2 separate regions of the Mus musculus genome follow, and region 1 is reported to be linked to region 2. Evidence: microRNA targets listed by miRTarBase, many of them from high-throughput screens and not tested one by one. Region 2 holds a microRNA gene; the other region holds the end of a gene's coding sequence.
The links. Region 2 holds the annotated microRNA mmu-miR-1948-3p (UUUAGGCAGAGCACUCGUACAG, at 7,668-7,689, opposite strand). A microRNA usually pairs through its seed, bases 2 to 8, with sites in the 3' UTR of a target mRNA and lowers its output. Matches are read on the target gene's strand: a 7mer-m8 pairs with bases 2 to 8, a 7mer-A1 pairs with bases 2 to 7 and ends in A, and an 8mer does both.

Region 1 (15,363 bases), not on the chromosome of region 2:
TCTCTCTCTCTCTCTCTCTCTCTCTCTCGTGCATGTGTGCTAGTGTAGAACCCAGGGATCCATGCACGTTAGGAAAGCATGCTGCCACTGAACTATGCCCTCAATCTCAACATGTCTTTGAGTAAGAAAGTATACCCCAACAGAAGAGCATGCCAGCGCATTGTCATGTGCAAGAGTATTATGTTGGCATATGTCCCCACAGTCTATGGGTAAGAAGGCAAATAAGCCATCCCCCAATACTCACGTCGGCTGCCTTCTTCTCTGCTAGCTCCAGCTTCTCCTGAGCATCCTTTAAAGCTTCCGAATACTTGTCCAGCTCATCCTCTGTCCCTTTCAGCTTCTTCTGCATGGTTGCTAGTTCATCCTCTAGCTGGAGCCAGAGCCCAGAGAGTAACACACAAAGACATAAACACAACAGTGTATACTTGGACTCCAAAGAGCACTGAGCCCAGCCCCAGGAGAGACACACTTCTTCAGCCATGCTCCAGGCATCAGGCTATGGCTTCACCTCAGACCCTATAATGTCTGGCCCCAAGGTGACCAAGTCATCTGGTGCTTTAATGCAAGACTGTTGAATGATAAACATCTAGTGGGGAAGCTTATTTCTGTGATGTTACAGAGAGAGACAGAGAGACAGAGAGAGTTGGATCATTCCTTACCCTTTGCTTTAGAAGTAAGACATTCTTCAAAATGTGGTCTACTTCTACTTAAGTCCTGCAGGCACACTGTGGCTAGGAAGAGGCCACCGGCTTTCTCAAGGTCACATGACAGTGCAAAGGGGCTACCCTAAAGCAATGGTGCTCAGCCTTTCTAGTGCTGAGACCTTTTCATACAGTTCCTCATGTGGTGGAGACCCCCACGCATAAAATTATTTTCATTGCTATTTCATAACTGTTAATTTTGCTACTGTTTAAATCATAATGTAAGTATCTGTGTTTTCTGATGGTCTTAGGCAACCCCTGTGAAAGGGTTAATGACCCAAAGGGGTCTCAACTCTCAGGTTGAGAACTGCTGCCCTAGATGTTCAGGGGGAGGGGCTTCATTGAGACTGGGGCATTCCTCCCACCCAAAAAAGAAGCTGGCCCAGTGGTCACTGCCTCTCCCATGAACCCCCTGCCCCTCTGGCTGCCTTGAAACTCAGCCTCCTGAGTGCTGGGATTACAGGGGTGTGTGCCACCATTGCCTGGACCATCTCTGTCTTGCAACCAGCAAGTGGGAAAGGTCCATACCAGCACCTACCTGCTTGCTTCTTTCTTCTGCCTGTTTCTGCTCAGCTTCAGCTTGCTCAGCTCGGTCCAGAACATTCTCTTTGTCTAACTTCAGCATCTGCATCTTTTTCTTGATGGCCTCCATCATGAGCTGTGACCGTTGGTGGGCTCACCTGTGAACACTGGAGAACTGGAGGCTGGGGCCAGAGAGGAAGGGCTGCCACCCGGGTCACTCAAAGTTCCCCAGGTTTGAACCTTTATCTGTGCTTGCGGCTCCACCTCTTCTTCCTAACATGGTCTTTCTAGCTCCCTCCCATCCCTTCACTGTTCCCCTGGGGGAACACAGGGTCAGACACATTGATAGACTGACATCACCAGCAAGAAAAAAAAAATTGAGGAACAGCTGAGGCTGATTTTAGACAATGGAAAGTGGGGGTGGGGGAGGTTCTCCCTGACCTTGAAACTTTCCACTCGTTCTTGGCAGCTCTGTGGGTCCCTCAAAAGTAGAGGAACAGAAGAGGGGGGAACACTGAAGCACAGAAGGGTACTTTAGCAGTTCTCGCCACCAGAGGGGTCCTAGTAGCCTTCAGATCTCTCATTCTCCCCTTGGACTATATTGGATATGGACCAAACTCTACTGGTTTGGTCTTTGGATTCCTGGTATCTAAGGAGCGTGGTCAACAGTGACGATGGGAGGTCACTCATGATCGTTGACAATTCCCCCAGATTGACAGTTGGGATTGCTGGGCTATTTTGGGATTCTCTAATAGGCAAGGAGACATTAGTCTGTAAAGGCCATAGGATAAAGTTGAAGGCCTGGGATCTGAAAGGGTATCTCAGGGTGTCAAGTGGGATGAGAAACAAGGAGGTCACAGAACAGGATCACGTTTTCTCATAGCGACCTTAAAATAGAAGGTCTGACATACTGAAGACTGTCGCTTTCCTCTACTCCTCTTCAACTGCTCCCTCTGTGGCCCCCTCCCCAGCCCGCTGTCCACCATGCCATTATAGTGTCCACCAGCTCTACTTCCCCCAGTGTAGTGCCAGCTATGCTCATAATTCCACTTGGAATCTTGCTATTGACAGGTGGCAATTGATCCCATACACAGTTGCCATATACCCATCTATGCCAGAGGAGTGGACACTGTTCAAGGTGACCGGACTGGAGCTAGCAGAGCAAGTAGAAGTGGTTCTAATTAATTCATAATGTCAAGGATAGTTAGTGTTGAGGCTAAACCACAGCAGTGTGGGACCGGAGTCAAGCATCAGGGTGGGGGCAGGGGCAGAGCCGGCTCCCTCTCGAGAGCCTCCCTGTTAAGAACAGACTGATACTAACAGACTGGGAGGAGAGACTTCCAGCTAACTGTTGGAAGAAAGCAAAGAAAACAAGCACCCCCAATTGAGAGGCCAGTCAGGAAAAGGGGACAAGAGAGAACCAGAGAAAGGACATGTATGGGTTGATAGAGAAGAGGGCAATAGAGAGGAGAAAAAGACAAGAGCAGAAGACAAGGAGGAGAGATACATCCTTTCTACCATAGGGGGCAAGATATATGAAGAGTTGCTCCTCAAATTTCAGCTCTCTCCCACTTCCACATGAGCCTTCCGGGTTAACATGGGCTCTATATACATCTCTTTTAGGAGAGTTGTGGAGAGAAATTTAGTTAGAAAAAGAATCGCCAGGCACGGTGGTGCATGCCTTTAATCCCAGCACTTGGGAGGCAGAGGCAGGTGGATTTCTGAGTTCGAGGCCAGCCTGGTCTACAGAGTGAGTTCCAGGACAGCCAGGGCTACACAGAGAAACCTTGTCTTGAAAAACAAAAAACAAACAAACAACAACAACAACAACAACAACAAAGAACTGATACTTTTAGCCGGGCAGTGGTGGTGCATGCCTTTAATCCCAGTACTTGGGAAGCAGAGGCAGGCAGATTTCTGAGTTCGAGACCAGCCTGGTCTACAAAGTGAGTTCCAAGACAGCCAGGACTATACAGAGAAACCCTGTCTAGAAAAACAAAACAACAAACAAACAAATCATGGGGCTGGTGAGATGGCTTAGCAGGTAAGAGCACCGACTGCTCTTCTGAAGGTCCTGAGTTCAAATCCCACAACCACAGGGTGGCTCACAACCATCTGTAACGAGATCTGATGCTCTCTTTTGGAGTGTCTGAAGACAGCTACAGTGTACTCACATATAAATAAATAAATAAATAAATAAATAAATAAATAAATAAATAAATCTTTTTAAAAAATCATAGGGCTGGAGAGATGGCTGAGCGGTTAAAAGCACTGACTGCTCTCTTCCAGCGGTCCTGAGTTCAATTCCTGCAACCACATGGTGGCTCACAATCCTCTGTAGTGGGATCTGATGCCCTCTTCTGGTATGTCTGAAGACAGCAAATATATATATATACATATACATATATATATATAAAATAAAAAATAATGTAATAACCTGGGTCTATAGCTCAGTGGTAGAGTATTTGCTTAGTGAATATGAGGTGTTGGGTCCCATCACCAACATTTTACAAAAAAACAAAAAAGGAACAAAAAAAAACAAGCACTGGGTATGGTGGCATGTGCCTTTAGTCCCAGTGCTCAGGCGGCAGAGGCAGAGGCAGGAGGACTTCTGTGAGTTTGAAGCCAGCCTTGTCTACATAGTGAGCTCCAGGACCACCAGGGCTATGTAGGAAAACCCTGTCTTGAAAACAAACCAGAAAGTCAGGCAGACAAGAGTCTCAGAGCCCCAGGGGCTGACGGAGCCAAGGAGGTGGTGCCAAGTCTCCTTACTGCTGTGAGAGTATGCTTGACATTCAGTTGGTTCATAATTTAACAACCCAATATCAAACATATCACACAGAAGCAGGCAGGCAAACTCTGGTCGTCATCGGCCCCTCCCCTCTCTGTGAAGAAAGGTCAGGGAGACGAACCAGAGCCTCACCATGTACAGGAGGAAACCCATCTTCAAGGGCACTGACCCTTGTGGTCTTTCACTCCCCAAATATGGTCTTGGTTATCTGTCCTTCATGCCGTCCCCACCACAACCCCTCTTCTACTGTGTTCAGTGTGTGCTGGATCATGTTTTTGTAATTCAAGAACACTGGGCAGGGCTTCATATCCGGGCACCTACCGTTTCCCGAAGCTCCCACACAACTCTTCTCCTCCCTGTTGTGTGACAGCACCAGCTTCCAGAGGATCACCATGTCAGCAGCGCCTCAGAAGCTTTGCCACCTGCCTTTCGATGCCACCTCAGCTGCCCAGGGCTTTCCGGGGGGTAAGGTTAGGGGTTTGCATCTCCTCTACTTTCTCCTTTCCAACCAAACTTCTAACGTTCCCAGATTTCTTTTCTCCTGTGAGACTGCTCAGTCTTCTCAATGGACTCCAACTTCATAGCTTCAAGTCAACAGGAGTTCCAGAAAATGTTTGCAATGTGGGGCTGGTGCTTGTACCATCTGGGTCCTTGTTTCCTCCTCATGACCTTAAGGCATCCTCCTTCAAGGTACCATTGGGTGTCCAGAACAGAAAAGCTATTGCACTCACAGGCTTCAGTCTGGGCTCCAGACTAGCAGACTCCCAGCTTCTCCTTCCTGGCTGAATTGAAACTAAGGCTTTTAGATCAAGAGCAAGAGGGAACTGCTTCTGTCAGGAGGCAGCCTGCAACCCTCAGGACTCCCATTCCTTTCTACAGCTTTCTGTCACCAGAGGTCCGGGGCTGCCTTCTCCAAGGCTCTTCCTTCATAGGGATTCAACCTGGTTATTTTTCCCCCTCTTGGAGAGAATTGGGTCTGTTGAGTGCCATTTGGCTGATGCTTCACTCACTGTGGCAAAAAGGAGCCCAAGTTATAGCTGCACGGGGGCTGGGAAAACACTCTTTATCAGTCCTCAGGCATGTTCCATGTGTCCTTGCTCCCATTAATTCTGACATCTCCCTCCCCCACACAACTTCACAGTGACTTTGTCTTAGATCAATAACATGTCCCAACAACCAATCAATTCCAATTAATTGGATGTGGCACTTGCCTCCCAGGGAAAGACTAATAAATGTGACTAAGCCCCAAGTTAGGTGCTTGTGGTATTTTGTCTTTTCTCTTTTGTAGTTCCCAAAGTCTGAGTGTGTGTATGAAATATTTATATTCTTGCCCTCCACTTACTGATGTTACCCCTCATCTCTCAAGTTCTATTTTTCCCTCCTGAGAGCCTTGGCCATAATGGGAAACAGAAAGGAGGAAGAGAGGCTGGAAGGAGACTAGAAAGAATGGAAGACTCCCCAAATGAGGGTAGCAGACACCTTTAACTGCAGTACTTGGAAGGCAGAGGCAAGAGCAGCTCTGGAGTTTGAGGCCAGCCTGGTCTACATAGTGAGTTCTAGGACAACCATGACTACATAGAGAAAACTTGACTCAAAAACAAACCCAAACAGAATTGAAGTTTAGGGTACTATAGGAACAGAGAAAGGTTGGGCATATTGGTGTGGGAGGTGCGGCTCTCTAGGAAGACTGGGTGGCGCAGTTAAGAAGAAACACCACACCAACGAAAGTACTTTATCTTTCCTTTTATTTTTATTACACTTTCATATTTTGTGTGGTTGTGTCATGGTGCCCATGTGAAGGTCAGAGGACAATTTCCAGGAATCTGTTCTCTCCTTTATGAGGGTTGATTAACTCAGGTCATCGGGCCTAGTAGGAAGTGTCTTTATCCACTGCACCATCTCACAGAGCTCTGCCAGTGGTTTTTAGGCAGCTATTTCAAATAGGTTTAAGTCCCAAGTCACAAGGCCAGGGTGTGACATCAGCTCCAGCAGCAGCATGGACTGGTGGGGTACAATTGAGCGATGTGATGAGTGCACACAGTATTGGCAGGGAGGGTCAGGGAAGATGAGCGCTGTAGTGAGCCAACCTGCCAATAAAGGAGTCGGCCTGGCACTGATGAGCCCTGAGGCAACAGGCCAAGGTCAGAGATCCAGGCAGACAGGATGGGGCATCCAGTGAGTCTAAATGAACAAAGGAAGAGAGAACTGAAGAGGTTGGTTATAAAGTGTAGTGGGAGTAGAAATTAGGGAAGAAAGTACCATGGAGTAGGAAGACAGCATTATGGCTTCCTGTTTGTATTACTTATTATGTGTGATTTCTTCTAGGTGTCTTATTTAATTCCCACAGTAACCCAGTAAGGTTGGAATTGTTTTCATTTCATAAATTAGCAACCAAAACTCAGACTTAAAATTATTTAAAAATGTTTTATATGCATGGGTGTTTTATCTGCATGTCTGTGTACCATGCGTTTGCCTGGTCCCTGCCAAGGCCGGGAAAGGGATACTCTGGAACTGTTGAGTAACCATATAGATGTTAGGAATTGAATCTGGGTTCTTTGCAAGAGTAGCTAGTGCTCCCAATCACTGAGCCGTTTCCCCAGTTACCCGCTTCTCAGATTAAAAATTGGACTAGACCAAACTAAGCGAAAAGGCCAACCCTGAAAACCAGATCTGTCCATTCTATTAACTCTAGGCCATACTATCTGGTAATCAGCAGGTGGTCCAGGAGACAGAAGGAAGATTAAAGAGGCTAAGAGGGTACAGACCAGACTAACACAGGGCAGGGACAGACAGAAGGATTCAGTCAGTCTTGTCAATCAAAATCCAGGTGGCATTTTGTGGCTTCATCTACAAAACACATGCTACACTTGTAACTCCTGTTCAAAGCCTGCTTTCCCCACCAGCCTGTAGCTCCAACTCATTTAATGAAAGTATCCATGACCAGCTACGAATGACAAGGGATTAGGAAGCAGTGGCATTGAAGGCAAAGAGGAAGGAATGTGATCAAAAGAAGAAAGATGACATTTAACTGGATGTGCGTTAACTGCAGGACCACAGAAAAGGGCCCTGGGTTACAGAGAAATATAATGAGGGTATTTTAGGTCAATCACTGGGCTTGTGCTCTCTACCTATTTAATCCCGAGGAAAATCCTAGGAGAGTCTGTCATTTCCAGAAGAGGAACGATGTTCTGATACTGTGAACTTATACCTGACCCTAAAGCTTGTGCTTTCCATGGGTGGGATATGGAGGGACAAGAAGTAGTAGCTCCCGACAGCTAATGAAAATTACAGGCTTTAGTAAGGGATGCAGGCTAGAGACAGGCTGGAAGGAAAAAGGACGAGAATGTGAACTTTGCAGTGGAGACAGCCACACAAAACTGAGGGTAGGAAAAGATCCCTTGGCACACATGCCTGAACAGCAGCACTATCGATGGAAGCCAAATTTAAAATATTAGCCATTGCCGGGTGGTGGCGCACGCCTTTAATCCCAGCACTTGGGAGGCAGAGTTAGGCAGATTTCTGAGTTCGAGGTCAGCCTGGTCTACAGAGTGAGTTTCAGGACAGCCAAGGCTACTCATTTGCATCTTTGTGACCTACAGGTGTATACTTTCCAGGATTTTCAGTGTCAAACACCTTGAGAATAGACATGATCTTTCCAGCTCCTCAAACCTACTGCTTGATACTTGACACTTGCTCCACTGCAAGCCAAATGCCTAGAGGGATTAGAGTTTGGAGGCTTCAGTTTTGTAAAGTAGGAGTGGGAATTCAGGCTAATCCATGGTTTCACAATGAGGTGACTTCTAAACATACAACTGGGGCCTCCTGACACTCAAGCACCACAGTGCCTACAGATTAATAGACATTAAACATGGTTTTTGTCCACGAATTTAGGAAAGATCAGTGAAACTGAAGTCTGAGGCAGTGCCCACAATCTAGGAAGTAAAATTATGGCAGCCAAGAACAAATCAAGACTCAAGGCTGAGAATAAGCCCTGTGGCCTAAATCTGAACTTTTTAAAAAAAAGATTTATTTATTATTATATGTAAGTACACTGTAGCTGACTTCAGACACTAGAAGAGGGCATCAGATTTCATTATGGGTGGTTGTGAGCTACCATGTGGTTGCTGGGATTTGAACTCAGGACCTTTGGAAAAGCAGTCAGTGCTCTTACCTGCTGAGCCATCCTGCCAGCCCAAATCTGAACCTTTAAGAGCTAGCTTTATTTGTTAAACCAAATCAGATTTTTAAAACCAGACAATGTACATAATCTCTCTTCCCGCCACAGTGCATATCCCACACTGACCACAAGGTGTCACTCTTGTGTCCAGAGGCAACATTTAGGTTGACAAAATAGTGAAAAAGATTTAAGTTCCAGGTCCAGGTGTGTTTTGGGAAGCTCAGGGTAAAGCATGAAGGCTTGCTTAGCAGGCGTGACGAGGTGGAAGAACAGTGTCTTGGCAGCTGTCAGAGTCTTTCCTCATAAAAAGCTTTGCCCATCTGATTGAGTTCCTGCTGGTACTGCTGATACTCCTTTTCAAACAGCTCGTGTAAGGCAGCTTGACGGACCTGGTAGGGAAGGCAATAAAGTGTTTGGTGTCGGCTCTTCAACACCTCTTCTCAGACTCTGGTTGCCTTTCCCATCCCTGTGTTCTGTTGCACCTGGACTTAGCTGGGACATAAAAGGAGGCAGTAGAAGAAAGTGTGAATCACTGGAGGGGAAGCCTACCTAATTTCCCTTCCCTTAGGCAGAGACTCATTGTTCAACAAATATTTTGCTGAGAATGCACCATGAACTAGAAAATCTGCTAGGTACTCAAGAAAATAAGAGTGACATCACAACTGTCCCCCAAGAGGAGAAACATCGGCTTAGGCTCTCACTGGATGAAAACAGTGAAGACTATGATGCACTGGGAATTGGAAATGTGTCACTTGCAGCTGGGGTGGGGGTTGGGGAGACACGCCTAGAATTCCAGTATATTCGAGGCTTGATGTCTGCAAGTTCCAGGCCATCCTGTGATGCAGAGCCAGACCTTGTCTTAAAAATAAATACATAAAATAAGACCCCTGGCTAGATGTAGTGATGCATTTTAATCCCAGCATGCAGGAGACAAGAGGCAGGTGGAGCTCTGAGTTCAGGGAGGCTAACCTGGCCTACTTAGCAAGTTCCAGGTCAGCTACGGCTGCAAAGTGAGATCCTGTTTCAAACTAAACCCAACCCAAAGAACCCAAGAAAACAAAGCTTTAATAACCCAAAGCTAAAAGAGCATCTCACCTGCAAATAATGAAAATGTAAAAATAATCACTTACTGAAAAAGAACTTTGACATGTGATGTTAATGTTCTGATAAAATAATGAAAAAGAATCTCAGAGGCAAATGATATGGTTAAGTCGAGAGAGAGAGAGAGAGAGAGAGAGAGAGAGAGAGAGAGAGAGAGAGAGAGAGAGAGGAATTTGATATCCTGGCTGGCAGGAACACAGAGCAGCAAAGGGGAAGACTCCAGGCTGCCCTCCTAGAACTCACCACTAGTAGCTGTTTGTTAGACAGTGCTAATTCCTGTTCCTTAGTATCCTTCATCCTTAGGGCAGCAAATAGGTTTCTCCGTTGGTCCAATGTTGTCTGCCACATACAGTGAATATGAAAATTCCGCCACCTGTCCCAGATGTAGGGGTGGGAATTAAACTGGTAAGTTAGTAGTAAGGATCCGCTGCTTTGAACTGACTTAGGATCTAGTGTGGACTGTTACTGAACTCTTACCATGAATAGAGTCAGATGCAGGTCAGCTGTTATAGTACACAGAGAAAGAAACTCACTTGTGTCACCTTGTTCTGGGTCTTACATCACTGTCCCCCTCCCCTGCCCTACCCCACCCTTTATTTTCAGACAGGGTTTCACTGTGTAGCCCTAGAACCACCTGCCTCTGCACCCAGAGTGCTGTGTTTAAGTCATTCACTACCACTGCCTAGCAACTAAAAAAAAAACAAAAACAAAAAAAACCCAAAAAACATTTTTATGTACCCAAACTGGGCTCCAACTCACATTGTAGCTAACCCAGAACTTCTGATGCCCATCTCTGTTGGAAAATAAATCCAAGTCCTGTGCAAGCTAGGCAAACAGTCTATAAGTGAGCTATCTGTGCCCTCCTTTAAAAGGCTTCTCACTATATAGTCCTGATTCTCTGGAATTATGTGGACCAGTCTGGGCACAAACTCAAGAGAGCCCCGTCTCTGCCCATAGTGTTGAAATTAAAGAACAAATACCACCAAACTGCGCCTCCCTTTGGGGTTGAGAGTCTATCAGTCACAAGTTAGTTTAGGCTGGCCTCAGATTCATGCTCATCCAAGCACCGAGATTATAGGTATGGGCCTCTCTGTGCTGCTTCTGCCAGCACTTAAAAAAAAAAAAAAAAGAGGAAGATTGGAGATACAGCTGGTGGTAGAATGCTTCCATGCACAAAGCCCTGGATTCAATATACCCCAGTGCCACAAACATCACAATGTTAGCAGGTGAAATCTGCAGTTCAACCTGCCAGGGACTGTCACTTGTTCACCAACTGTTGAAATACCTGATGTATAATTAGTACAAAGCCAGGTGAGGAACACAAGAACATTCAAAAAAAGAAAGGCAAAACAACAAACACTTGTGCCGTTTCTGCAGGGGATGGGAAGCAGGGGCAGAGAAAGACAAGGCTCATCTCCTCTCCCTGTTTTTCTCTCTGCTCTGTGTTTTCCTTCTTGAGGAGTCCTCACGGAGAGCAGATTTCGGTGGTGCCTCAGGGAGAGGAGAGCAGAAAATACAAACTGATGAGAGCAGATGAAAACAGATTACCTGTCGACAGTCTTCTTAAGTGCCACAGCTCTTTGCAAATTCTGCAAGAGAAGGGAGTTCTGTTGATCTCCTGGATTGCTAGAAGCATACCACTAGTACCCACTTTTTGAGGAATGAAGTAGTGAGCTTCATAGGGGCAAGTGGGAAAGCTCCACATCTTGAAATCAGACTGAAGAGAAAATACAGGAGCCAGAGGGACTTATGCAAACAGCCACTCTGTTCCACAAGCAGTTTCCCATATATTGCCAACTCTCCCTTATGCTTCCAAGGGTCTTTCTCGGGAATGGTGTACTTTGGGTAAAATAACCTGGAACCATATCAAAGAAAACTCCACCAACTCCCAACCCTCTTTCCGACCCTCCATACCTCTTCTAGTTTTGTCATTTTTTCTGCAGACATATCTACTACAGACATGCTTGCTAAGTTTGGGGACACTGGGAAGGCTCTCCTTTCTGTTTAGTTTGGTCACCAAGGTTTCAGTAGTCATAGCAACATTTAGGCGTCCAACAATGACCCTAGTCCTGGTAGTTGACTGGTTACTTGGGCCTGTTGCCCTAGTGACCTGAAGGGAATCCTGATTCTCCAGCTTTCTATTAGTGACAAGGCCAGGCTATAAGCATGAGCCACACAGTCCCTATTTTAGGATTTCTTCTGTTGGAATTTCAGACTATCAGTAGTTTAGATCCAGACACACAATCCAATCAGTTTCTGGAAGCGACACTCCACACCCTATGTCCTGTAAGGAAAATGTAAGCACACATCAAATGCCTGTTGCTCTAAAGACCACTCTAAAGAAATGATCCATGGTTTTACAGTAGTTAGTTTTATTAAGTACTTTGTAAACTGAGACTAATACGCTGACATCAGAGGATACCACTTTTTCACATTATCTCACCATCGTGGCATAGGTTATGCCAAGTGCCAGAATGCCCCTTTCTACTTGTCCTAAGGACTGGGTGAAGGTGGGGACAGATCCTTCCACTTTAGGAAAGTCATGTTCATGTCACAATACACCTGGTTTAAACGGAGCAACAAAATCCCAAAGGACATTCTACCCACTTTTGAGATGCTCTAAACCCAAATATTTCTATTCAGTTGAGTGCAATGGGGCAGACAGAGAAGACACCTCACCTCAACTTACATCCTTGGGATTAAACAGCATTTAACAGGGTAGGTGATTTACAGCCAAAATCAAGCGAAGATTTTCAAAGAAGCATCAACAGAAATGTTAAGAATGACATTTGAATTCAAATCCAGAAGAAGTGCTACTGGGAGATACTGAGGTCTTAGCCAATATCAGAAAGGGTTGGGAATGACCTTTTAGACACTGTTCTGTAAGAATGCTTTGGCCAATAAAGCCTGGGTCTGCTGAACCAGACATCCCGAGTGCTGCACGGCTGCACGTGTGCAGCCCCATCACAGAGTGCTCTCCAGTGTGTTATAGTTGTCCTTAAAGCTCTTCAGTTCCAGGAAGTGCTTAGGGCGTTTGCTCTTCTGACTGGAAGGCAGGTATGTGACCTGGATTGTTGTTGGTGACATTTCAGGTGACTGAGTTAGGTCTTTGGCTGCTGACTGGTGTTGTCTCTGAGAACTTCCAATTCGTGCTTTGACCCTGAAGAATATATAGCAGGCATGGACAGAGTGAGAACTAGCAGAAAAGGGGTTGGAGAGATGACTCCTTGGTTAATAACATATACCGCTCCTCCAGAGGACCAGAGTTCAAGTCCTGGCAACCACATGAAGTGTCTGTAATTCTAGCTCCAGGCCAGAACCTTTTTTTTTTTTTTTATTTTGGTTTTTCAAGACAGGGTTTCTCTGTATATAGTCCTGGCTGTCCTGGACTCACTTTGTAGACCAGGCTGGCCTCGAACTCAGAAATCATCCTGCCTCTGCCCCCTGAGTGCTGGGATTAAAGGCGTGCGCCACCACGCCCGGCTCAGGCCAGAACCTTTACACATGCTTAACTAAAACTAGTGAAAAATGCATCTTAAAAACAAGAAATTCCCAAAATACAACTCAGAAATTACTCCACCCCATAAATGCAGCAAAAAATCATCTGATCTATTTTACCAGTTACTAAGCAAGGTATAGTGGCAGAGACCTGTAATTCAGGGGGCAGAGGATGTCACAAATTCAAAGCCAGTCTGGTCTACATAGCAAGTCTGCCCCAACTCAATGCATTACAAAATGACCCCCCTCCCCGACCTCTCAAAACAAAACAAAACAAACAAAACACAAAGCCCAAACAACTCATTAGTAAAACAATTTGATAATTTATATTATCAGAGAATCCAAATTTTAATCCTTTCTTTCTTGGGATGTGGAGAGAGAGAAGGGACAGAAAGGGTCTTACTATGCAGGTGAGGCTGGCCTTATAGGAAAGTGGGCCATTATATCTGGCACCAGCTTTTTTTTTTTTGGGGAGGGGGGTGTCGAGACAGGGTTTTTCTGTATAGCCCTGGCTGTCCTGGAGCTCACTCTGTAGACCAGGCTGGCCTCGAACTCAGAAATCCGCCTGCCTCTGCCTCCCGAGTGCTGGGATTACAGGCATGCGCCACCAATGCCTGGCTGGCGAAACGAGAATTTGAAAAAAAGAAAAATAGCCAGGTATGGTAGCATATACCAATAATCCTAAAACTCAAGATGGCAAAGGCAAGAGGATTATCATTGTCTTGAATTATAGGGAACAAGATCATATCTCAAAAAGCCCAAATTAGGGGGCTGGAGAGATGGCTCAGCGGATAAGAGCATTGACTGTTCTTCCAAAGGTCCTGAGTTCAAATCCCAGCAACCACATGGTGGGTCACAACCATCTGTAATATCTGATGTCCTCTTCTGGTGTGTCTGAAGATAGCTACAGTGTACTCATATACATAAAATAAGTAAACCTTTAAAAAAAAAAAAAAACAACCCAAATTAAAACAAAGTAACAAAATATCTAATGAAATATAAAGCAATAAACCTTGTTTCCCAAACAGTTTCTCTGTGTAGCCCTGGCTGTCCTGGAACTCACTCTGTAGACCAGGCTGGCCTCGAACTCAGAAATCCGCCTGCCTCTGCTTCCCGAGTGCTGGGATTAAAGGCGTGCACCTGGCTATTTTCAAGTATATGCTCTGATAGTTAAGTACAATCATGATTTTATACAGTTAGCCTTCAGAATGCTTTCCATTTTACAAAACTTAAGTTTATATTGATTACATCCCAGCAACCATCATTCTATATCCCCTCCTCTAACTACTTAGATCACAGTGAAATCAGCATCTATATTTCAAGTGAATTTTTTAAAAAGATTTGTTTATTTGTTTGTTTATTTATTTATTTATTTATTTATTTATTATATGTAAGTACACTGTAGCTGTCTTCAGACGCACCAGAAAAGGGCATCAGATCTCATTATGGGTGGTTGTGAGCCACCATGTGGTTGCTGGGATTTGAACTTCGGACCTTCAGAAGAGCAGTCGGGTGCTCTTACCCACTGAGCCATCTCACCAGCCCTCAAGTGAATTTTTAACACGTTTCCTGCCTAACTTCTTTCAAGATTTCTTATTTGTGTGTATGAGCCTGCAAGCTTATGTGCACAATACATTTGCAGAAACCTAAAGACATCACAAGTTGGTGTCAAATGCCGGGGCTTGTGCATGTTTGGCAAACATTCTACCAATTGAATTATATCCTCAGACCCTGGAAACTAACTCTAGATTGGCTTTCCTTTTTCAATATACATGTTCATTCACAATTTGCCTAAGTGGCATAATAAAACTACTTTAAAGCATTCACCAGTCAGATTCTTTTTTAAACAAATGCTTAAACACTGACTTTCTACTTATTTTCTTTCTTTAAAGACAGGTTCACATTGCATTACTTGGTTAAAAAAAATAAAAATAAAAATCTTATTTTTATTGGACCAAAGCACAAAGAGGACCCTAGAACAGAGGAATTCTTAAGTGCTGAAAAAACTCATTCCTAGCTATACCATTTTTTTGTTGTTGTTTTTTTGAGACAGGGTTTCTCTGTGTAGCCCTGGCTGTTCTGGAACTCACTCTGTAGACCAGGCTGGCCTTGAACTCAGAAATCCACCTGCGGTCTGCCTCCCGAGTGCTGGGATTAAAGGCGTGCGCCACCAATGCCTGGCTTTTTTTTTTTTTTTTTTAAAGATTTATTTGACATTTTAGTGGGGTAGACAAAAAAATAAAACCCAAAACAAGAATAAAACCCAAGATATGCTCACAAAGTTCAAGTTTCTCTTGCTAGCTTATAGAGCAAAATATCCACTTTTGTATTTAATCCTGGCAAGTTTTATGAGAACAGTGTAGCTCTTCTGTATTCTCCTATACTTTTGTTTACTTATTTAGTTTAGATACAGCCTGGTCTGGTGTAGACCTTGTGATTTTTCTCCTTACGGTACATATATGTCTAACTAGCCTTCTTTCAGGTCCCCACCATACTCACACAGTGGCCAGCTCACTCAAGGCCTCTTGATATCGTAAGTACTCACTCTGGCCAAAGACCTTAGGAGACAGAAA
Region 2 (15,363 bases):
AGGTGAGGCGAGTGATAGGGAGCGAGGGACTGTCTGACAGGTGACAGGTGTCCTCTGCTTCTCTTCCCTGTCACCTGTGGAGTGCTGTGAACACAACTCTCACTGGGTCCCACCAACCCATCATCCTTTCTCCTTTGTCTACTCTTCATTTCTCATCTCCGACACACTGGGCCAAAGTCCAGCATTCTGTTTATATTCCAAGCCCAAAGTTGTATTTGCTCTTCCCAGCAAATGGAGGGGTGGTTACATAAAGGATTCTGAAATCTCTCAAGTGCCAGGGTCAGAGCAGAGCATAGGCAGGCAGCCAGAGAAGCTCTCATAACAACCTGGGAGACGGAGGGGATCTTAGGCAGACACTCTCCTGTGTCCATGTCCCTGTAAGACACAAAGCTGACCAAGAAGGACCTTCTACTTGCCAACGACCTGGTCCCACCTAGATGTGACCTGCTGGCACTGTGCCTTAGTTTGCCTTCTGTTCCTGGGACACAACAATGACCAAAACAACTTGGTTAAAATTATATGAGGATTATGTTACCAGAAAAGCACGTGACTTAGGGATGGTGTACCCTGGTCTTCCTGGAAGAACAGATATGCTAAGTTCTGTCTGGGCACCATTCTTAAGTACCAAGTCTCTCCCTGTTTTTACACACAGGTGAGCTTTTGAAACCCCAAACCCACAGTCTCTAACTGTGCTGTAATAGGAATGGCTGGAAGGCTGGGGCCTGTTCTTCAGGGTCTGTGTGTTGATGTTGTGTATTTTTAGGTGTGGTCTACATGTACGATCTCAAAACTTGGGGAGGAAAGTATTTATTTGGTTTATAGATCCCCATCATAGTCCACCACTGAGGATAACCAGGGCAGGAACCTGTAGACAGGAACTGGAATAGAGGCCATGGAGGAACACTCTTATTGGCTTGCCTACAATGGGCCAGACCTACCTACATCAATCATTAACCAAGAAAATGCCACCACAGACTTGCCCACAGCCAATCGGATGAAGGCATCTATTTATGTCCCTTCTTCCCAGATCACGGTGGTGGCTTGGGGCAAGTTGACAAAAAAGAAAAAAAGTCTAAGTAGAACACACAGTCCCTCCACTGGCCATCAGTGGCTCAGAAGGTCTGGAAACAGACTGGAAGACCTAGGCTCCAGCTTCCTCCTAGGCACTACTTTTCGAGAGCCTTGAGCCTTGAATTTTAACATGTACTAGAGTAATCCACCCCATACTGTCTGTTGTCCCCAAATCAAAATTGGTAGCGAGGAAAAGCGAGTCCCGAGAGACAAGCCTTAGTGCATGTGCTAGAGTGACTGGATCCTCAGTATACAGAGCAGTGTCTTCCCAGAGGACAAGGAGGGCAGCAGAGAAGATGCCCCCTGGTAACAGACTGCCAGAGGTGCTTGTATTCTAATGCTAATATCGGGCCCTGAAGACTCCTTGCACATAGCTAAGTGACCCTGCCCCCAAGTTACTTCTGATTGGGAAATAAAGATGCCAACAGCCAATAGCCAGGCAGAAGAGACAGATGGGGTTTAGGTTTCACAGGTTTGGGGTTGAAGGAGGACCATGAGGAGAAGAAAGTGCAGGAGGAGGAAGGAGAAGCTGCCATGGGTTAGGTGGCCAACTGGAGTTAGGAGCTGCCCAGATGAAACACAGCAAGTAGTAAGTTAACTCAGGGTTATCGATAGGAAAGTAGATTCTAACACCATGGATGGGAAGCTGCTGCCCAGCTCTTGTGCTGTTTAAGGCTTACTGTAAATATACAGGCTGTGTATCTAGGAACCAAAGGGTCAAAAGCAGGGTAGAAACTCTGGGTCAGAATTAAAATTTTCTACAACACCCGCTTAAGCACAAGAGACGGCAGATTACTGACTTCACCCAGACAGACATGCTGGACTCTCCTAGTTACTGACTTCACCCAGACAGACATGCTGGGTTCTCCTGGTTACAGATTTCCCACAGACAGACAGGCTGGACTCTTCTAGTTACCGACTTCACCCAGACAGACATGCTGGGTTCTCCTAGTTACCGACTTCACACAGACAGACATGCTGGACTCTCCTAGTTACCGACTTCACACAGACAGACATGCTGGGTTCTCCTAGTTACTGACTTCACACAGACAGACATGCTGGGTTCTCCTAGTTACCGACTTCACACAGACAGACATGCTGGGTTCTCCTAGTTACCGACTTCACACAGACAGACATGCTGGGTTCTCCTAGTTACTGACTTCACACAGACAGACATGCTCAATTTTCCTGGTTACCGACTTCACACAGACAGACAGGCTGGATTCCTATAGTTACAGATTTCACACAGACAGACATGCTGGACTCTCCTAGTTACCGACTTCACACAGACAGACATGCTGGACTCTCCTGGTTACCGACTTCACACAGACAGACATGCTCAATTTTCCTGGTTACCGACTTCACACAGACAGACAGGCTAGATTCCTATAGTTACTGATTTCACACAGACAGACATGCGCGATTCTCATAGTTACCAATTTCATACAGACAGACGTGCTGGATCTCCCTCTGGTCCACAGCCAGCTCCAGAGCAGTGTGGAAGGAAGTCAAGGCACTGTTGATTTGACACTAAAGAGAAAAAGAAAAGCAGGGTGACTGGCTATGACCTGGCATCAGCATCATAAATCACAACCAGCTTTTTCCTGAGCCCTGATTTTCAACAGACCCAGCAAGCCATACAGGAAAGGTGTTCAAGGGCTGCTAACAAAACATGCCACTTTGCTTGATGCGAGATTAACCTTAGCACATTAACTCCTTTTTAAAAACTGGTTTCTACTTATTTTATGTGTGTGCACATACATGACACAGCCAGCACACTTGTGGAGGTCAGGACAATCTTGGAAGTTGCTTTTCACCTCCCACCATGAGGTCCCTAGGGATTGAACTCAGGTTTGCAGGCTTGGGTGCAAGTGCCTTAGTCCTCCAGGCAGCCCATCAGTCTCTCTTTCTTTTCTTTCTTTTTTTTTGTTTTGTGATACAGGGTCCCTGTGGTGGTTTGAATGAAAATGACCCCCTTAGACTCACAGAGAGTGGCATTATTGGAGGTGTGGCCTTGTTGGAGAAAGTGTGACGCTAGGGGGTGGGCTTTGAGGTTTCAGAAGCTCAAGCCAGGCCCAGTGGCTGTCTCTGCCTGCTGCCTGTGGGTCCAGCACCATGTCTGCCTGCATTCCATCATGCTTCCTGCCATGATGACAAAGGACTCTCAACTGTAAGCCAGCCCCAATCAAATGTTTTATTTTATAAGAGTAGCCACAGTCATGGTGTCTCTTCACAGCAATAGAAAACCTAACTAAGGCAGTCCCACTGTGTGGTCCATATTGGCTTCAATCCCATGATCCTGACTCCAGCTGTCCTTCCCAAGTAGCTGAGACTGCAGGTATACATCTCAAAGCCCGGCTTAGACAGTGACGTTTCCAATAAGGGCCCAGCTCACCCCATCTTTCCCCATACTAGTCTCTCTACATGCATCTATATAGACTTCGCTGTATTATAACTGTCCACCAATCTAGCTCTTTGTAACCAAGCACATTCAATAGGCACAGGACCATATTCTGTCTTCTGGTGAATATTTAGTTGTGGTCAAAAAGAATAACCATCAAAGCCACTACCAGTAAGCCTTGCCCTATCTGGTCCCTCTGTTCAACTGGACAATGGATGGCTGGATTTTAACTGAACACTGGCATTCATTTGCTTCTGGTCATTTGGTCTCATCTCAACACTCAGAACTCTCTGAGGCTCCAGACTCCATCTGCAATGCGCACATCTGCCCGCTACGGTGCAGAACCTACCACCCCCAGATGCCAGTTTTACTCATTTCTGCGTGTAGAGCTCTCCCTGCTTTATTCTGGACCCAGGACAAGGGATGGAAGTGAATATTTTATATATCAAAGAAGATCTGGCCACCAGTTCTCTCATCAGCCGCAGTCCTTAACTGCCACACCCTGCTCCCAACCTTGAATTTTCCAGTCCAGAGGCTGGGCTGCCCTTGCCCCAGAGGTTCTTCCCTACATAATCCAGACACTTGTTCGTGCTTGCTCAAATTCATATTCTCTCTCTCTTTCTCTTTCTCTTTCTCTCTCTCTCTCTCTCTCTCTCTTTCTCCCCTCCCTCCCTCCCTCCCTCCCTCCCTCCCTCCCTCCCTCCCTCCCTCCCTCCCTCTCTCTTCTTCCTTCTCTTCTCAGCTCTCCTGCCCTTTCTCTCTTTCTACCCTTACCCTCATGACAACTTGCTCCTGGCTTCCTTCCTTGGGGCCAGTGAACTTGCCTACCCAGGAGCAGCTCGAGAGATAACCTATCACTCCCCTCCCCAAATCTGCTGTTCCACTTTCTGTGGTCCCAGTGGCCTGTGGTCAACTGCTGTCTAAAACCAGAATACAGTATAGGAAGATACTTTGAGAGGTACAAGAGACCGCATTGTTGTGGGTTTGGTCTAATGCTGCATGTATTATGTTAATCTGGTCCCCAAAATTGCATGAGAATCTGCACATTCTCATGGAAGATGCTGGTTGGTTTTGATTGGTAAATAAAGTTGCCAGTGGCCAAGGGCTGGGCAGGGAGACAGAGGTGGGACTTTAGGACTCCTGGACAAGGGACTGAGAAAGAGCAGGAAAAGGAGAGCCGCCATGCTGGGGAAAGGAGCAGAGGCCTTGCCTGAGGTGTGCTGGGCAGAGAACACAGTCGTCATGTAGGTGCTGGGGAACTCAGACCAAGGGAGCTGCAGGTCTGGGTCCGGGACAGCCAAGATGGAATATAGCTTTTAGTAAGAAATAACTCAGGAATATGAGGGGCGGGGGGAGTATGGCAGCCATGTGGAGGTCTGAAGTGGCCCAGCCATTGAGCTGTTTAAGGCATATTAAAATATAAAGTGTGTGTGTGTGTCTTTCATTCGAGAACCCAGAATGTTAGTGCAAGGAGTACTGCAGCCACCGCTGGGACGAATAGAGCTATTTGGGTTCAGCAGTGCCACATTACTGCCATTTTCACAACAGAGCATGGCTGACTCTTTTCTGGTTTACTTTTGTTCTTTGCCTAATGTGTACATTAAATTATGGCCTGAGTAAGTATGCAGAGGAAAAATGTAGATCTAGCATTCAGCTTTCTCTGGTGTCAGTGGTCACAGAGGGTCTTGGAACATATGCCCAGGTATAGAGGGAACCACTGGACATCTGATTTTTCTTTCCATTAAAAATTTCTTTCTATGTTTGCTAACTTCAGGCTATAAGAACTTGATAAGAACTTTCAAAAAGCATCAAAGAGTCAGAAAAGGTCCAGACTCATTAAATAGGCATCAAGAGCCTTTCAGTACCGGGGAGAGCACACAGCCTGCTCTGTGGGTGGCACCCCTGCACAGTCCTTCCTTGCTCTGCGGGACTAAGGCACCCCATCCACTACCCCCTCCCCCCTACAGTGGCAAGGCTGTGCCTTCTTATCCAGCCCTTCTCTTCTGTGCCTGCTGTTTGCTGTGTCTCCTGCCTCCCAACTCTATTCCCTACATGGCAGCTAGGCAGGGACGATGGGGAGGGTCCTAGAAGAGGTCTGCAGAAGCCCAGAAGCCCTAGGGGTCACTGAGGCTAGGATGAGCCAGGGGTGATCTGCAGGACAGCCTGTGACTCAGGAAGTCTGTGGGCTCAATGGTTCGTTCACAAATATTCACCTGACAGATAACTGCCCTCACGTGACACACCATTTTGTTGTCAGAAGGACTCAAGCTGTGTCCTTCAACCCCTCAGTGAACACTGGGAGGAAGCCACAAAGAGACTTTTCACTTAGGCATTCCTCTTGTGCTTAAATTATGTACCCTGTGCGGATGGGGACCTTAAGACAATGTGACAAAGCTCCCATGGGGGAATCATACCACACGTAAGACACCAACTCTGTGACAAAAACTTTCATGAGGCATGTGTGCAGGTGAGTGTGCAGGTGAGTGTGCAGGTGAGTGTGCAGGTGAGTGTGCAGGTGAGAGTGCAAGTGAGTGCGAAGGTGAGAGTGCAAGTGAGTGTGCAAGTGAGTGTGAAGGTGAGAGTGCAAGTGAGTGTGCAAGTGAGTGTGAAGGTGAGAGTGCAAGTGAGTGTGCAGGTGAGAGTGCAAGTGAGTGCAGACCCTCACACGCTTATTATGCCTGTACCCAGCTATTCCCTTGGGATCAACAGTTCTTCCCCAGCGTCCCCTCCTCACTCCCTACAGCATATTTCTTTTGCACAGGAACCACAGCATTGTGGACTCAGCATTCACACACAGGATATTTCTGAGTGGGCCACTGCAACTAAGCTGTCTCCAGCTGCATGTTCAGTGCCTCCAGAGGACAGAAAGGCACCCAGGCAGCAATTGGGTCTAGACCTTGATAGCATGACTGAAATAAGACTCTGACATCAAGAAAGGAAGATGGAAGCCAAGAAATAGCACTGGCACCACACTGTAGCTCTTGATGTTCCCCAAGCCTCTCCGAGATGGGCACACATCGGTGTATTTTCAAACAACTTAGTCAAGTAACCAGTATTTAATTTCCGATCTGATTAACTGCAAAGTGAGCTTTCTTGAGTGACAGTGACACAGGTTAAGCCCAAGAGCAGGGAGATTATCGCCTGCACCTTTAGGAGGGGTGGCCACAGGCAAAAATCAGAACTATGTGACCACAAGCCCAGGAATGCTGTTAACCACTGCATGCAGCAGAGTCAAGGAACCGATTGTTTCTAGAACCTCAGAGGGAGAGAGACCCTGTAGATGCCTTGTTTCAGTTAGCGCAGTGTGGAGGGGAGCATACAATGTAGAAGATGCTTCAAACTGAAGACAGGTGAATAAATTCAGCACTATGGAGAAGGTGGCTTTCCAGTCCTTGGGGCAAGAGCTGGCAGCCAAGGAGGCAGGAGAATGGTTTCATGAGCTAAGCTAGACAAGGGTGACCTGCTGTCAACCTGAATAGACACAGCCTTAAACAAAACAAAACAAAACAAAACAAAACAAAACAAAAAACAAAACCAACTTGTAGCACAACAAGAACCCGTTAGGTAATGCTCTGGTTATTTCTCCTATGGGGTTTAGAATGCCTGCCTGTATTACCCAGTGCACAAGACAACAGCTAAGAACAAAATGACTACTGCCATGTCAACCTGGATCTCCACACTCAGTGAAAGGGCTTTGAGATATCTGGCCTGCAGACTGTCATACACACTGGGGAAACAAAGGCCACTCACCTGTAAAAGTTACCTGTGTGAAGAATGTGATCTCTCCTTCTCATGCGAGAAACCACTTGAAGATCCTACGGGGTGTGTATGCTTAAAGGTATGGCCCCAAGAGCCAGTGCGACCTCTAAATTAGCCCAAGTTCAACCTTAATCATTCCTTGAGGGATTTGCTAAATAGCAGAAATATATTACCCCTCTTTTTCACCAAAATAATTTAAAACAAGAAAATAATCTATGGTGGGTTTTATGGTGAATTAAAACACCTACCATGGCACAGAGGATGGAAAATTATTCTCAACTGGAGACAAGACTCACAGCTGAATTTTAAAATAAACTGTAGCATTCATAATTGGGCCTGAAGAATACACACAGAGAAGGCTAACGTGGGAGCCACAGTGCTCTGAGTAAGATCAGAACCCCCTGTTTTTATTACAGATTTCCTGATTCTCACCTTACTGTACGAGTGCTCTGCCTAAATGTATCCGTACACCACATTTAGGCAGAATACTCATATAGTAAGGTGAGAATTCTGCCTAAATGTGTCTGTGCAGTGGCCCCACAGGCTGAAAAGATGTCAGATCCTCGGAATCCTGAGTTATACACCGTTATGAGCCACCATGTGGGTGCTAGGAACGAAACCCAGGACCTCTGCAAGAACAGTAAGCCCTTTTAACCACTAAACCATCTCTCCAGCTCAATACTGGCTTTTGTCAGGCAAATTATACACTAACAAATTGTGAGGCAAAACTGTTTGAAGGCCATTATCCTAATTGGTGGTGTCTGCTTGCCATGCATGAAGGCCAGGGTCCCACCCCCCAGAACGCCATAAGGCAGCTTTGGTAGTGCACATCTACAATGCTTGCACTCAGAAGGGAGAGACAGGAGAATCCCCGAAGCTCAAGGTCAATCAGTTATACCGCTAGTTCCAGGCCAGCCTGGATCCATATCTTATTACAACAACAACAACCCTGAAACAAATATCGGCGGCCTTCACTAATAGACAGAAAAACAAACCAACAAGGAGAAGGAAACAAATGAAAGCACTGACTGCTAAACCTGTTCTCCAAGGCAGCCATAAACAGTAAGTGGGGCAGGGCCATTACCAAGCAGCACTGTGCAGGGCAGAGCCATTACCAAGCAGCACTGTGCAGGGCAGAGCCATTACCAAGCAGCACTGTGCTGGGCAGTCACTGTGCTCTGAGTGCCTGCGAACACACTCTTCCGGTTATTCCAGCCTCTGCCTTCTTCCTGGCACTGTGTCCCTGGGCATTTCTCAGCAGGTCCGCAAAGTGCTCTGGACTCCAAGAGCTTTAGCTTACACCTGCCACTGTTATGCTCCGGGAGAAGTGGGAGGGAGAGTTTTGAATACAGCAGGCAGGGGATCGACCATTGTACTGGCCAGTTTTGTGTCAACTTGACACAGCTGGAGTTATCACAGAGAAAGGAGCTTCAGTTGAGGAAATGCCTCCATGAGATCCAACTGTAAGGCATTTTCTCAATTAGTGATCAAGGGGGAAAGGCCCCTTGTGGGTGGGACCATCTCTGGGCTGGTAGTCTTGGTTCTATAAGAGAGCAGGCTGAGCAAGCCAGGGGAGGCAAGCCAGTAAAGAACATCCCTCCATGGCCTCTGCATCAGCTCCTGCTTCCTGACCTGCTTGAGTTCCAGTCCTGACTTCCTTGGTGATGAACAGCAGTATGGAAGTGTAAGCTGAATAAACCCTTTCCTCCCCAACTTGCTTCTTGGTCATGATGTTTGTGCAGGAATAGAAACCCTGACTAAGACAAATTGGTACCAGGAGTGGGGTATTCCTGTGACAACCTGACCATGTTTTGGGGAGGACTGTGGAAGGACTTTGGAACTTTGGGCTTAAAGATCCATCCGTTGTTAAGAGCTCTGTCGGATGTTGTGTAGGAGCTTGGAAGATAATGTTGAGAACAGTGCAGAAGATGGAGGTCTGGTTTGTGAAATTTCAGAGGGAAAATTAAAGACTCTTTTCAGGGCCATTGCTGTTTTGAATGTGAAGATTCTGTAGTTCTGGTTAGCTGGGGCTGAAGAATCAGCTGTGATTAACAAGATACCAGAACTACCAAAGCAAAAACTTTGTATTACTGGTACTATTGATGCTGGTTAGCTGGAGCTAAGAAATTAGCGGTGATTAAGAAGAGACCAGCATCATTGAGGTGACATCTTCTGGGAAGTGTTTTCTGAAAGCACAAAGAGGCTGTGTTCCAGAGATGGCCAAGGTTGTACTCTTGCTGCAGCAGGACTTGGTAATATGTAAGGGTCACCCAGGTGGTACTGGTTTTGAAGGCATGAAGGGGTCACGCAAAGCAGCTGAGGCTTGGCACTGTGAGAGGCCATGGAAGGCCACTGGTGAAGGTGCAGCCTCAGTTGCAATTGAAGGCCCAGGACTGAAGGGGTCATGCAGTGTTTTGGAGATGCCAGTACCATGAGATGATCACCAAGAGCAGCAGCAGCAGTGGAGTACAGGCATCTGGAGCCTAGAGGATGATGCATGTGCTACAAAGGGCCTGGCTGGAGAAGTGACCCAAGCCCTTGGAGGAGCCCAGAAGATCATGAGTTGGATCCCAGACATTGGACGGTTGGAGATTGACTTTTGCTTTTGATTGTGACTGTGCCCTGATATTTTCCCTCTTGAAGGAAGAAACTTTTTTAGTGTAGCCCACAGTTAAGAGAGTTTTAATTGTAAAAAGACTTTGGATTTTAAAAGAGATGGATATTTTAAAGAGATTGAAATTTTAAGAATATGTAAAGACTGTGGGACTTTTAAAGTTATTTAGAATGGGGATGAATAAGATTGTAAGGGTTGAGGCTTACTAGTGATGTTTTTGTGTGTCAAGTTGACAAGGGGTCAATTGTACTGGCCAGTTTTGTGTCAACTTGACACAGCTGGAGTTATCACAGAGAAAGGAGCTTCAGTTGAGGAAATGCCTCCATGAGATCCAACTGTAAGGCATTTTCTCAATTAGTGATCAAGGGGGAAAGGCCCCTTGTGGGTGGGACCATCTCTGGGCTGGTAGTCTTGGTTCTATAAGAGAGCAGGCTGAGCAAGCCAGGGGAGGCAAGCCAGTAAAGAACATCCCTCCATGGCCTCTGCATCAGCTCCTGCTTCCTGACCTGCTTGAGTTCCAGTCCTGACTTCCTTGGTGATGAACAGCAGTATGGAAGTGTAAGCCGAATAAACCCTTTCCTCCCCAACTTGCTTCTTGGTCATGATGTTTGTGCAGGAATAGAAACCCTGACTAAGACAACCATCAATCTAGTTCTTCAAATTCAAGTTCTCCAAACCTCCCGTTGTTCTCTCTTGGCTCTTCCACTGAGACAACCAAGCCACTGGACAATGACTCTCTTTGAGAAGACTCTTCACAGGCTATGAGCATATCAGTTAGGGCTCGTGCCTGCCTTGGTCTGGACTTTGATGATGGTTGGCATTACCAGGATGTGCCGACAGAAATGGCTTGTATCTATGTCATTTTCACCAAAAAGGGAAAGGGATTTTTTATTTTCAATTTGTTAATACTCTCTTTACCTTTGAAAAAGTCCACATTAGGTAGCCTTGCATTGAAAATGCCTTTAGAATTATTTCTTTAATACAGGAAACACCAGGGGGTAACCTCTCGAGGCTGAGCTATGAGGAGCTTTTGTGAATAAGCCCTACTGGTTTACAGAATAGACTTAAAAATACTGTAGTAAGCTGGGTGTGGTGGTGGCTACCTTGACTCCAGCTTTTGGGAGACAGTCAGATGGACATCTGAGTTCGAGGCCAGTTTGGCCTACACAGTGAGGCCAACCACCATAACTGGCTCTGACTTTAGTTTCTTGGTATACATATATATGTGTGCCTATGTATGGTTGGTGCATACGTGCAAGTGTGGGCAGAAACCGGAGGAAGGCAGCAGATTTGCAAATGCTGGAGCTACAGCCACCAACATGGCTTCTGGGGACCAATCTAGACCTCTGAGCAGCGAGGTCTCTTAGCTTATTTCTGGCCCAAAATCTTGTTTTTTATGATGCGGTTTAAACTTTACATGTTACATGTAAGTCACACAGACAGACATATTAAGAACAGACTCTAAGGGTCAGAGTGGGGTCATTAGGAAAGTACTGTAGCCTCCAGGAGGCTTGCCCTGTCACACATTCATCTTGTTCTTGCGCGGACAGGGCTGTTTTTCATGACATCCCTCAGCGGGTCTCTGACACCAGAGATACTAAGTACTTGAACATGTCTGAAAAACGGCAGGAGCAGTCAGTTCTTCTGTCTCTACCTGTTAAGTATAAAGCCTCTTGGAAAAGAAGTCACCAAACCCTCCTCTAACAGAAGTGGAGCCAGAGAGGGCAACTCATACACGAGACCCTTGTCTCTCAACAATCAAGCATAGGATTTGGGAAACGTGTGACAGAGAATGCTTTTTCCTGGGACTCACAACTCAACTCAAGTAGAATGGGGACACTAATGAATGCAACACCACACACTCAATGCTTCTGTTTGCCTGTGTGACGGTGCTGAAGACTGGTATCCACTGGGTAGCAGGTACAGTCCTCTTTACATAGATAACACACGGGATCACAACTGCAGGCCAGGAGCCAGGCAAGAGGCTCAGCAGGTAAAAGCACTTGTGTTGGCAGCTCAGTGACCTAAGTTTGATCCCTGTATGATAAGAGAAGGAGAGAACCAAGTCTACAGTCTGACCACACATACATGTTATGGCAGGTATGTGCATACACACGTACACACACACTCACATACACACAATAATAATAGCGATGATGATGATAAATACTTTAAAAATCTAGGCAAGACCAAACAGTGAAGGAATACTAGGTGTTGAACCCAGACCTTGTGCATTCTGGTCAGGCACTGTCCACTGAGCTACACTCCCAGCCCACAAGACCTTGTAGAGACAACCTCAATCAACACTTTCTCTACTACACCAGAATGCTTTTTTTTGACATGATGGAGAAAAAGCAGAAAATTAAAAAAAAAATGTGTTCATGTTAAAGATGACATCAAAGAATTAAAAATAATTGGCAGGAGAATGCCAAGAAATGAAAAAACAGCAACACACTGGTTTATGAACTAAGCTGTAGCACTTGGAAGACTGGGATTCAAGATGAGCAAGGAAGACAGAGAACAGAGACACAGATGACCAAATGTGAGCAGAGACAGGCATAGTCAGGAAAGTGACCTCAAGGAGGTCCCTGGACGCAATGGCACCGTGGGAGGATGTCATCAGGTGTCTGGCTAAGGACCTTTGTAAACTCACAGATGCACAGGCACCACCATCTCAACGTAGACCAGTTTCCTCATCTTCCTCTTGACTATCAGTAACCGCACACCCTCAATGTCTTATAACTAAATGCATTCCCTGGGACCAGCATGGACCGCAGGCAGCACGTGCTGACTCCCGCAGACTTCATTCCTTTCTAGTGCCGGATTGCAGGCTACGATGGATGTGCCACATGCTTTTCTGCTGACAGACACTGGCCTCGACGCTACCTTTTTACTACTAAAGATAATAAATAATATGGAATGTATATTTTCATTTCTCTTGAGTATATACCAAGAACTGCTGAGCTGTGTATAAACTGAAGTTTAGCACTCTGAAGACATGTTCAGGCGCTTTCAGAGTAGTTGTCCCACTTTGGATTCCCACCAGCAATGAATGAGGATTCTGGTTTCTCCACAGCCACACCAACATTTGATTCTTGCTGTTTCTTGCAGTGTTGCTGTACACTGCCAGTTGGGTGTGAAGTCCTACCTCCCATTGGATTGGATGGACAGTTTTAAATGACTTTCAACACCAAGTATCTTTTCACAGGCTCATCTGCCCTTTGCATCTCAACAAGTATTCACTATGGGCCATCTGTGGGCCATCATGGAGGTTATGCCAAAGACCATGTGACCTTAAGAGGCTCTGCCACTGAAACTGAAAGAAAGATGAAATTTCAAGATCTGTAAGTCATATAAAGTACCCAGAAATTGCTGGTTGTTTGTGAGCCTAGAAGCTGCCTGGGGCTGAGAACAAAGAAAAACAAACCCGGGCATGCCCCATAGTTAAAACATTCCTGGAAACAGCTTGACCATAAAGATAAAGAGGAATGTGAAGACAAAACAGGGCTATCTGAACTGAGTCAACAACTCACAGAACTCTGACACCCTGACCTGCAAGTAATTTTTCTGTTGATGTTTGAATAAGCCAATAGTGTGTCACTATGCTGAATTCCCCACACCTAAGCCCTTTACCCCATAAAACCCCCTAGCTTTCGAGCCTTGGGGTCGAATCCACTGTCTCCTGCGTGAGATACATTTTGACCCGGAGCTCCACCATTAAACTGACTCATGTGTTTGCAGCAAGAAGGATTCTCATGTTTCTTTGGGTGTGCTCTCTCTCTCTCCCGAGACTAGAGTAGGGGGTCCCTGAAAGGGGGTCTTACAAAACCAGCCAACATTGCTAACCTCTCTTGGGTATGTATACTCCAAGGAGAGGTGGTGAGTCCATAGTAAGCGGATGCCAATTTCAAACTGGGTAATTTATCCTTTTATTCTGAGTTTTAATACTGTTTCCAGACATAATCCTCCTTTGAATATATAACTTATAAAGTCCTCTTCCTAATCTAGGCTGTCACTTTGCTCCCTCTGTGTTTATGACACTAGTGTTTCACTGGGCTGTAATTTAATTCACCTATTTTTTGTCTCTATATTTTTGGTGTTCTGTATAAACCACTGCCTATGCCAAAAGGTGTGTGATTTTAGATTCTACATTTAGAGCTGCCCCTTTGTGAGTTAATTTTATGTAGGAGATGAAATAGCTGTCAAGTGAAATTCTTTCACCAGTGTGTTTAGTTGTTGTTGCACCAATTGCTGACGACATTTTTTGTTTGGCCATTGATTGGTCTTGGAGCCCTTGTCAAAAGTTAACCAACCATAAAGGGGGGGGGGGCTTCTTTCTCATTGATCCTTATGCTGACTCTTACATCAGTGCCACACCATCTTGATTACTCTGCAGAAAGCCTTCAAACTTTGATCTTCTTTTTCCAGATTATTCTAGTTACCTTGGGTCCCTGAATTTAGGTCAGCTTGTCTGCCTCTGCAAAAAGGCATTGCTGGGTTGTTTTGTGCATTAGAGGGGATGGATCCCAGGGCATCACACACACACACACACACACACACACACACACACACACACACACACACTGTTGAGAGACACCCCCAGTCTTCAAGCTGCAGTTCTGAGGACTGTACTGGGACTCTGCTCAGGGTTTGACACTAATTAGAAGAACAATGCCTTCTTGCTAATGCTGGGTCTTCTAACACACACATTCCTTTACGTACTATCTTCAAACCACTTCGGCCTGCATCACTAGGGTTGTAAGGGAGGCAGAAAAGAAGTGACTTGGGGACTTGGCTGACTCTATTGAGTGCTTGTCACATAACCAGAAGGACCTGAGCAACTGTGTACAATCAGCAGCAACTGTGTACAAGCCAAACCTGTAACCAAACGCTAGGATGGTAAGGATGAGAGGAGCCTGGAAGCTCACTGGCCAACCAACCTAGGTCAGTCTTTGAGCTGCAGGTTCAGTGAGAGACCCTGTTTCAAAACATGTGGTAAGTAATCGAGACAGCCAACATCAACCTCTGGATCCATATGCATCTGTATACCTATGCACTCCCTGGCCACACACACACACACACACACACACACACACACACGTGCGTGCATATGAGTGCACAGTGGGGAGGGGTAGAACATTGCTACCATAGAATAAACTGTCTCTATAAAATTGTACAAATTACTACAGTGTGGGACACCCAATTGCATGTTGCCTAAATAGAATTTCTCTTCATTTAACAAGAACTACATAGCAGTTACTACTCGTTGGTTCTAACAATGCCTCTAGAGTTATACCTGTAGATACTTGAAAGAAAGAAGGAAAGAGAGAGAGACTGAGAGAAGGGAGAGGGAGGAGAGGGAGAGAGGGAGAGGGAAAGAACCTACTATGCTAAGTCACTTAAGTGGCAGCACTTGCTGTCACCGCAGCACTGGAAAACAATGGTCAATGTCCCAGCAATAACTGCCAAGCAACCAGAAACAATGGGTTACCAACACAAGGAAACTGTAATAGTCTAT

Region 1: the mRNA of 1700094D03Rik is a reported target of mmu-miR-1948-3p. Seed matches in the 3' UTR shown: 7mer-m8 at 7,522-7,528 and 8mer at 5,937-5,944.

Annotation. Positions count from the first base shown.
Region 1 is chr3:90,058,727-90,074,089 of GRCm38, reverse strand. 1700094D03Rik (RIKEN cDNA 1700094D03 gene) reads right to left here and starts at 11,282. Exons shown (of 4, transcript NM_028567.2): 1 at 11,207-11,282; 2 at 10,841-10,881; 3 at 9,536-9,665; 4 at 5,743-8,580. The coding sequence starts at 11,239. The coding sequence ends at 8,479. It overlaps 4933434E20Rik (RIKEN cDNA 4933434E20 gene), which reads right to left. Exons shown (of 7, transcript NM_025762.3): 6 at 15,290-15,348; 7 at 10,749-12,452. The coding sequence ends at 12,257. Tpm3 (tropomyosin 3, gamma) reads right to left here and starts at 1,439. Exons shown (of 10, transcript NM_001293748.1): 1 at 1,240-1,439; 2 at 245-370. The coding sequence starts at 1,356. Mir190b (microRNA 190b) reads right to left here and starts at 4,070; the gene lies at 3,991-4,070.
Region 2 is chr18:12,707,188-12,722,550 of GRCm38, reverse strand. It overlaps Mir1948 (microRNA 1948), which reads right to left and starts at 7,740; the gene lies at 7,656-7,740. It overlaps Ttc39c (tetratricopeptide repeat domain 39C), which reads right to left. Exons shown (of 14, transcript NM_028341.4): 7 at 2,508-2,601.